Linked DNA regions of Cricetulus griseus. The protein of the gene in region 1 purifies or fractionates together with the protein of each later gene. This does not show direct contact. Links are inferred from orthologs where the notes say so. Each region holds a gene or a part of one and is shown in the gene's direction. Other genes may lie near its edges. The genes, in order: Hspd1 and Sirt3.

Evidence for each region.
Region 2: the proteins of Hspd1 (region 1) and Sirt3 purify together in Homo sapiens (affinity purification with mass spectrometry; 3 studies listed by BioGRID and IntAct, counting the BioPlex papers as one, with this or other methods). This does not show direct contact. The link is inferred for Cricetulus griseus from reciprocal best matches to the Homo sapiens genes HSPD1 and SIRT3.

What each region holds. Positions count from the first base shown.
Region 1 is NC_048595.1:409,526,540-409,530,952, reverse strand, and holds the start of Hspd1 (60 kDa heat shock protein, mitochondrial), read left to right. Parts: upstream 1-1,467; 5' UTR 1,468-1,592; exon of another isoform or gene 1,593-1,673; intron 1,674-2,474; 5' UTR 2,475-2,476; coding exon 2,477-2,650; intron 2,651-4,169; coding exon 4,170-4,413. Other genes in the region: MOB-like protein phocein, read right to left, coding at 159-323, 956-958. UniProt on the Homo sapiens protein: Chaperonin implicated in mitochondrial protein import and macromolecular assembly. Together with Hsp10, facilitates the correct folding of imported proteins.
Region 2 is NC_048596.1:60,311,388-60,315,872, forward strand, and holds the start of Sirt3 (NAD-dependent protein deacetylase sirtuin-3, mitochondrial), read left to right. Parts: upstream 1-1,615; coding exon 1,616-1,670; intron 1,671-4,485. Other genes in the region: Psmd13 (26S proteasome non-ATPase regulatory subunit 13), read right to left, coding at 861-955.

The sequences.
Region 1 (4,413 bases):
ACAATGGTTTTCCTTCATGCGCGGTTCTTTGTGAAGTTAAATTATTTCAAAAAAAGACATCTACTATTTTAAAAGCCACTTGGTAATCTAGGATTTTCTACTCCTTTCCTTCCATATCACATATAAGACTCAGTACTGCTGTAGTAGCTCCCAGTTACCTTTCCTTTCGAGCCTGATCCCACAGCCACTACTGTTGCTTGCAATACTTTTCCTTGAGACTTTTCTGGAAGCATAATGCCACCTTTGGTCACAGTTTCGGCGGCACTCCTTTCAACCAATACTCTGTCAAAGAGCGGTAGAAACTTTTTGAAAGCTTGTCCAGCCTGCGGAGAGAAACGTGTTCAAACGGACTGTCATTGCGTTCGCAGCGTCAGACCACGAACAGTTAATACCGCTGCATGCCTTAACCTATAACGGGTCAAACGTCCCAAACTGACAAGAAAAATCTAGGTGTGCCTTTAGAAAATATTCTTGGATGTTTCATACCCTGTATATTTTAGTGCGTGTGGGTGGGTGGGGGGGTGTCTTCATTGCCCATCAGCACCCACACTACCTTTAACCACAACCTTGGTCTCCTCCAAGGTCAAACGTTTTCCTTCTTTAGATTTCTTTTTTTAATTCTAGTAACGCCGGGGAGAGAGTATCAATTTTTGAGCTGGGTCATATATTCTCCAACACAGTATACGTCCATGAAAGCCCTGGCAGGGCAGGTGGGCTACTGAGTGTGCATCCGGGTTCCCGCCCCCTACCCCGGGCTCCTGCAGCACACGTGCGTGCAAAGAGGCCGTGGTGGAGAACCGCATCGGACAGGCCTCGCTCCTGCGGAACCCGGGCGGGCGCCGAACACTGCGTGGCCCCCTGCCCTGCCGGTGCTAAACCGGCACACAGGGGGGGACACCGTGGGTCGCGGGGGACCCCGACCCGCAGGCAGGCCTGCCAGCCCAGGGACACTCACCATGACTCGCGCCGCCGCCGCTCGGACTCTGCACTCGGGCCGCCGCTGCAAGGAGAGTCCTGAGGTCCGGCTCGGGACACGTGAAAAAGCCACGCAGCGCGCAGGCGCAGGCGCACGCGGCCCCCCCCCGCGAGCGTGAGAGAGGGCGGCCACGGCAGCGCGCGCGCCGATTGGTGGCGAGGACTCCGCGCAGGCCGCCGAAGGGGGCAGCCGGAGGCGGAAGAAAAGGGGCGCGCTTTCTAGGCTTTTCCAGGCGGCCCGCTGAGGTGAAAGAACGAGCCCTTCGTCCTCCTCCCGGAAATGACGCCACCTGACCCTTGACCCACGGGAGGCGCAGCGCCCTTCCGGAAGGTTCTAGAACGGAGCGAGGCCCAGGAACCAGCGTAGGGCGGCGGGAGAGGGTTGAGCCCGCGGGGCTGAGACCGCTCGGGTACGGGGGGGGCGGGGCCACCCGCGCCGCATGCTGATTGCAGGGCCCGGGCGTGGGAGGGAGCGGGGCGCGCGCGCACGCGGGGCCGCGGGGCGGGGCCGCGGAGGGAGGGGACTCGGACTCATTGCGGTGCGCGCTCTGCGCTCGGTCCCTCACTCGCCGCCGACGGCCTGCTTCGCCTCGTGCCCTCCCGCCGCCGCCCCGCAGGTACACGGCCTCGACGTGCATGGCGCCCGGGAGCTCGCCGGCCTGCTTCCGGCTGGGCCCGAGCATGGCGGGCTAGGGGACAAGGCTGGCAGCGACGCCGCAGGCTCTGCCGGCCTGTCCAGGCCCGACGGGGCCACGCGGGTTTCATCACGTGCGGCGGGGACCACGCGACCCAGGCCAAGCGCGGGAGCGAGGACGGGCTAGGGTGGGAGCCACTTGGGCCCTCTGGTGCCACCTGCGCCTGGCGCACTGCAGGACTCTTGTCGGAGGGTGGTCGCGGTCCCTTCTCGTCCCCTCTGGCTGCGGGGATGCGGCGCCTCTACTTTGACCTTGCCTGGGGCTCCTTGTCGGGCAGACACGTGGGGCCGCGCGAATGGGCTGAGCTGCGGTCCTGGGTTTTGCGGCCTTGCTAGTTGCTGTGCTACCGTAGCTCCGGGTGGACACCTGGCGTCACTTTTCCTGAGCGGGGTTTTGCACCGTCATGAGTACTTGTATAGTTCCCTGTGCTCTTGCATTTGGAACCTGCCTCGCTTACGCCAGCTTGATTTTTTTGCCCCCCCCACACACACTTTTGGAGTGGATCTGTTCCTAAGGCCGCTTTGCCAGTGAAAGATTAACTCGCGGTGGCAGGAGTGGGTGGCCATGGGGAATGGTTTTGTGTGCTAGGGCTGCAGGTCAAGCGAGCATGGGGGCGGCCTCCTTAATCCGTTGCTAGCAATTGATGTCCTGAAGCTGCAGCGCCGTGTGTGGCCCAGGCGTGGCGGTTAGCAGAGGACTGCCAAGCTCCAGTCTAGCTAGCCTCCATGTTCTGAAGCACAGGTGGACAAGTTTGTCCGTAACTAGTAGTGATCCTTTGCTTTTTTTTTTCCCCCCCTCTCCCAGAAATGCTTCGACTACCCACAGTCCTTCGCCAGATGAGACCAGTGTCCCGGGCGCTGGCTCCTCATCTCACTCGGGCCTATGCCAAAGATGTAAAATTTGGTGCAGATGCTCGAGCCTTAATGCTTCAAGGTGTAGACCTTTTAGCGGATGCTGTAGCTGTTACAATGGGGCCAAAGGTATCAGTATACTTTAAATCGTGTTAATAAAAGAATAGTATTCTGTAGCTGCAAATTAGACAGTATTTGTTAACAAGTTTTATGAAAATCTAATTTGAGTGTAGTACATGTTAAGTGATTTGGGGGTGTTATTTAGGAGTTTCGTTAGTTGGTGGCCTTAATACTGCTGCAGCCGATTTGGGGGACTTTTGTGCAACATGATGTAATAGAGTAGTAATAGCTCAAGGAGGATTTTCAAACTTTAGGCGTAATTAATCTTGTGTGAATGCTTGCATTAAATTTTGGATCCTTTCCCAGGAGTTAGAGGGTATAGAGGGGAAAGGACAGCTCAAGACTAGTAACACCTCAGAGTGTAATTGTAGATGTGAGGTTTTACTTAACTGTACTGAAGTATTACAGTATGCATACAGTAGATGCGATAGCATAGAGTTTAGATTTATTTATATTTTTATGTGCATTGGTGTACTGTCTGCGTGTATACCCATGTGAAGATCCCAGAACTGGAGTTACAATTGTGAGTTGCTATGTGGGTGCTGGGAATTGAACCTGGGTCCTAACCACTGTGGCATCTGTCCAGCCTAAGTTAATATTTGTGACTTCGTTTGCATTGTTCTGTAACTCACCATCACACATCTCCAGAACCGTTTTCACTTGCACATGGAAAAGGCTATCTGGTCTCCCATTTATCCCTCCATTGTGCATACCTCATGATTTCTCTGCCATTTCCACATTCCAAAAGTTTGGTTTGGGGTTTTTAAGAGTCTCGATAGCTTAGTCAGACCTCTAACTCGCTTTGTACCAAGACTATCCTTGAACTGATTGTCCCAGGTATGTAACAGTTTAGTATACTATTCATCTGGTGTTTATTGAGACAGGGTCTTTAGCCATAGCTGACCTGGAACTCCTGTGGACCAAGCAAGCTTGAACCTTGAATCATTGCTGAGATCCAAGGCTGGAGTCACTCATCTGTGTGGTTGAATAAGGAGCCATAGTACTTTGAGGACATAATTGGATGTGGGGCACAGTTGCTTTAAATTGACGTTAAAGCCATCTAAAGAGCTTCGTAAAGTGCTGTTTATATAGGTCAAGACAGAATAGCTTGGTTCAAATCCAAGTTGCCAATACTGTTGGTGTCAGTTTTGAAGTTTTGAATTGCATGAGCAGGAAACAGTAAGTTAAGAACAAACTTACTGGCTGATATTTAGTGAATGGATGTTCAAGTAAATTGTACTTAAAAGCAACAGTTAATAAAAAAGTAATAACAGTTCATAACCAAAACTCGTGTACAAGTGATGGAAGGGTGTTCCAGGATTGGTGATTGTCACCTGTGCTATCTTGTTTAATAGGTGGCATCTCTTTGGGTGGGTGGGGGATGTTATCTACTGTTGTACCTCAGAGTTCCTTTTGTCTATAGACCTAAGAATGTTGATTAACTTGACCTTTGAGATTCACGTTTCAGGACTGTTAAAAGTGACAACTTTGAAGTTTATGGTTGAGGGTTGTTATTCTGTCATTGTAGGGAAGAACAGTGATTATTGAACAGAGTTGGGGAAGTCCCAAAGTAACAAAAGATGGGGTCACTGTTGCAAAGGCAATTGATCTAAAGGATAAATACAAAAATATCGGAGCTAAACTTGTTCAAGATGTTGCCAATAACACAAATGAAGAGGCTGGGGATGGCACTACCACTGCTACTGTTCTGGCACGTTCTATTGCCAAGGAAGGCTTTGAGAAGATCAGCAAAGGGGCTAATCCAGTAGAAA
Region 2 (4,485 bases), on another chromosome or scaffold:
TTTGCAATCCTACAGCTGTATTTTGAACTCCATGCTCTCTTACTTATTAGCTGAATGTCTTACAGAGGGATAGAAAACAGATCTCCAGTTTCCTCATCCGTGGATGGGATGAAGGAGAGATGAAATAAGCCAATATACATATTTTTAGGACACTGATGTAGCACATTTCACACAAAGACTAAAGGCTACTATTTAATAGTGCAGATAAAGTGCTCTGGGGAATACAAAATGTTAGCCCACACAGGCAGTTAGATACTCAACACTGAAAACGTCTCTTGAAAACACTAATAGCAGAAAACTGCTGAATACCACCAAAACACACGAACGGAAAGGATCTTTGTGGAAAGGTGTTTCCTCAGGGAAAGCTCTAGATCAATGTCAGCAATCTGTAACTGTTCTGAAGTCCATCTCGTTTCCAATCAAACTCAAACACTAAGGTCTCTCCAGTGGCAAAAAGGCCAATGTGAAATACAACAGAAAGCAGGGACAATGGGGGCTGAATCAAAGGTTGTAGAATCATGAAGAATTTGCAGGCTGTAGACAATCACACCACGGCTTAGGACAAGTTACCAGGGTCTGTGGCAGACCCAGACGCGGTGGCACCCTAGCCTCAAAACTATTTGCTTGTTTGAATTAAGAGCTACCATCACAGGCCAGTCCGGGCCCCCCTTTAGTTAAGACAGTCTGTCATAGCCGGTAAGGCTGCAAAGCAGGGGGTTTAGATTCAGAACCCTGGTAGCAAGCAGCTCTGCTCCTTTGGCTGTAGCTCCTTTTCTTCTGATTCCCTGACCCTCGGGGCTGCTCAGAGCCTCCTGCTGCTCCCAGAGCCCTCTCCCTCCCGCCCACGCCGCAGAGCTCACTTCTTCGTGTACAACTCCTCCAAACGGTGCCAAACGGCGGCCTGGCCCGGCCCGGAGTTCTGGCTCTGCTGTAAGAAGGCCGGCACATCCTTCATGATTGCAGAGAGCTGGGAAGAGAAACACCAAGTACTCGGAACCGGCAGGGATGGCGGACGGAAATGCTCGCTCACTTCCGGCACCGCGTTGCGCGGGGCATGCCGGGAGCTTCCCAGTAGCCCCGCCGATCGCGGTCGTCAAGGTAACCGCGTTCTTGGCTTGGGCCAAACTTGTCCCGCGTGTTCGGCCCCGCCCTTGAGGCGTTAGCGTAGAGGTGCCCGGGGACAGCTGGTCCCCGAGTGGTCTCAAGTCTTCCGACGTGGGTCCTCTCAAACTGGGATGGCGTCCGGCGAGGACTAGGTGTGATCAAATTCCTGACCGCGGGAAGCGCTCAGAGAGCATTAGTTATCATCCACCCGGTCTAGAAGGTCGAGCGCAGGGTAAAACGATGACGCCTCCGAGTTTGGCTTCCCAACCAATAAGCCAGAGTCTCACAGAGCGGGAAGCTGGCCGCAGCGAGCATACACATCCCCTTCGGCACGGCGGGTTAACGTGCCGGGGGCGCCGGGCTGGGCACCATGTGAGGGGCGGAGCGTTGGTGCTGGGGGGCGGGACCTGGCCGAGGGGGCGGGGTAAGGGTATCGGGCGGGGCTTGGCGCAAGGGGGCGGGGATTCGGATGGCACTTGACCCTCTAGGTGCCGTCTCCCAGCAGAGCATCATGGCGCTGAGCGGTCGACTGGCTTTGGCCGCGCTCAGACTGTGGGGCCCGGGAGGTGAGCCACGGCGGGGAAGCCACGGGGTCCCTCAGATAGGCTGTCAGAGGTGTTTTAGGGGCGGGCAGCGGAAAGCAATTGCGGTAGTGAGAAGCTGGCAGGTGCGCTCTTCCACAAAGCTCGACTGACCGGCCTCATCAGTACCTCATCTCTTTAAAGATTTTTTTTTTTTTTTAATGTAGCTATTTCCATTGCAGCACAGTCTTTGAACTGTTCTGTGGAAGTTCCTTGTATGGATGTCTCATACTTTATGTCACCATTTCCTTATCGAAATAGTTTCTAATCTCGTATTATTGCAAATAACGACGTTTTGAATAACTTTGTTTGCACCCCATTTTGAGCATGAATTCCCAGTAGACCTACTGCCTTGTGTAAAGTTATGTGGTTTGTGTTGTTTTGAGACTGGGTCTCCTAGTCGATACCTGCCTCCAGCTGGCAGTATGAAGGAGGATGACCTTGAACTCCCGATCCTCCTCCTTCCAACTCCAGCTGCTGAGATTAGTCATGTGCCACCACATCCAGCTGTTATTTATGTTTTAATTGTCCCCCATGAAGGTTGTGAGTTTAAAGTTTCACTAACAGTCATACTGTCTGCAGAATAGTAATATGTTTTGTATAGTCCTGAGAATGGTCTATGATAGGCTTATTTTCAGTTTCAAATGAGTGAGTTTATTAAGAGAGAGAAATCATCACATTGGATATTTTTAAAAAATCCAGTAGAAATCTACTGAGGAAACCCCTTTAAGGTAGCCAGGTGGAGCTTCCAGTAAAGAGAGTCGAGGGCAGAAAAGAGTGCCCCGTTTGCTGAAGTTTTTCAGTAAAGGAACAAATAGCAACAGAGAGAGAGAGACAATATCAAGTTGGACACTTGCTGCATCCAACAAAAACCGACAGAGGAAGTTCAGATAGTCAACTGGAGTTCCCAGATGAGCTTTTCCTTGGTGTCTGAGATTCCTCTGTAGGCACTTTTACATGCTGGGATAAATGATAGGAACCTCCTGGAATTGGATCACCTTCTAGCTGTTCTCATGGGCAGTGCTTTTACTCTTGGGTTGTTTTGCTGTTCCTTTCCCTTCCTATCACACAGTTGGGGGAGCCAGCCCATCCAGACCTTGGACTTTGAGACCAACATGGGTCAGAAATGGGAGTTGTCAGCCCAGCCCCCAAAGCCAGCTTTTCAGTAGCTCAAACAACACACAGCAGTTTACCAATATGATGTACAAGTTTGTTTGTTTTTTCTTTTTTCTTTTTCTTTTTCTTTTCCTTTCCCTTTTTCTTTTGGTGCTGAGGATCAAACCTGATCAGGCCTTGTATTTCTTCTGCTCTTGATTTTAGATTTTGGGACTCGTAGGTGACTTCATCCTTTGTCTCTTTATAGTATCTCAGACATTACTTAATGCCAGCCTCTGGTGTCTTCATCCCAGGAGCTTTCTATACCATGTAAATGTACTTTAAGTTATACCTTAAATCTGTTTTAGATATTGTCAGTGACTTTGCAAACTTTTTTTTTTTTTTTTGTGGGCAGGTGACTAAGAAATGTCCCTTATGTGCCCTGACGTGGATATCTGGCAGTTGTCAGGCACTCAGCAATGGTCACAACTTTTCTCTTGACCCTTTTGTATTCTCATATGGTTTGTATTTAAGAGGAGTTCAGCAAATGTTAGGGCAAGAACCGTCCTAGGTGCTATGTGAGATTCGGGTATTTGATGGGAGGGATGTGGGTTTGGAGCCAGAGCTTTCTTTTCCTCATTCTTTATTGTTTTCACTGGGAGCTCCTTGGAGGGTTTCACTGCCTTGGCTCAGCAGAGGGACCTTGGTAAAGTGCGTTTATACCCTACTGTGATACAGAAGGACCTTCTTTAGAAGCCCATCTCTGCAGTGTGGGAGGAGCTGAGGTCTTTCTCCTGTTTGTTGTTGTTCTGTACACTCTGGTGAGAGGTTTATAAACATAGGTTCCTCCAAATCAGACTAAGAATTAGGAGTTGGGATGTAATTCTGGGAGAAAGCTCTTGCCTCTTCACCCCCAGAACAACAAAACACCACCAGCAACAGCAACAAAACAAAAGTCATCTTTGGCCTCCTTGCTTTGAGCTTGTCAGCTGAGGCTCAGGGTGCTGCAGGGTTACTCCTGGCTTGCTGTTGGCACACAAGTCCCTGGATAACTGAACACTGTGTGGATAGGGCAGCTGTGTACTGCAGGTGCACAGAGGAGAGAGCTGATAGACACCCTAATAGGAGAGGGAGCCAGCACTGTTGCCTTTAAGAGGAGGGTCAGTGATTATCCTTAGGGTTCAGCAAACATTTGACCTTGTGGGATTATGATACTCCCAAGAGGAGACCATGCTTCTCAGGCAGAATATGCTGGTTGGGACAGGGTTACTTAGAATCACTAGGATTTAGGACATGAAAACAAACAAGCCTTTTGTTTGGCTAAAATGAAGGATTAGAACTGTCACTAGAATGGCAATGGTGTGAGGAGAGCTTCTGGGAAAGCAGGTGGCATGATGAGAAGTCAGTTTTGTAAGGAGCAAAGGCAGTGACAAAGAGTAAACCCTGTATTGGTATCATCCTGCTAGAAGAGAGGCTCTGAACTGCCCTGTCTGAAGATGTACTGTTAGCATCTTTATTCTTGATTGTATTATGAGTAAAAGACATACTCTTAGTTGCCTGCTTTATGGCTGTATTAACTTTAGCCATTTATTTGGGGAGGGCCAATTTGATGTTTAATCTGTTCCACCATCTGATTGGAGAGGCCTCTATCCTGGTCATTAGGGCCATCTGATGGGAGAATTGGCCCAGTGTCTCAGCTCTCAGT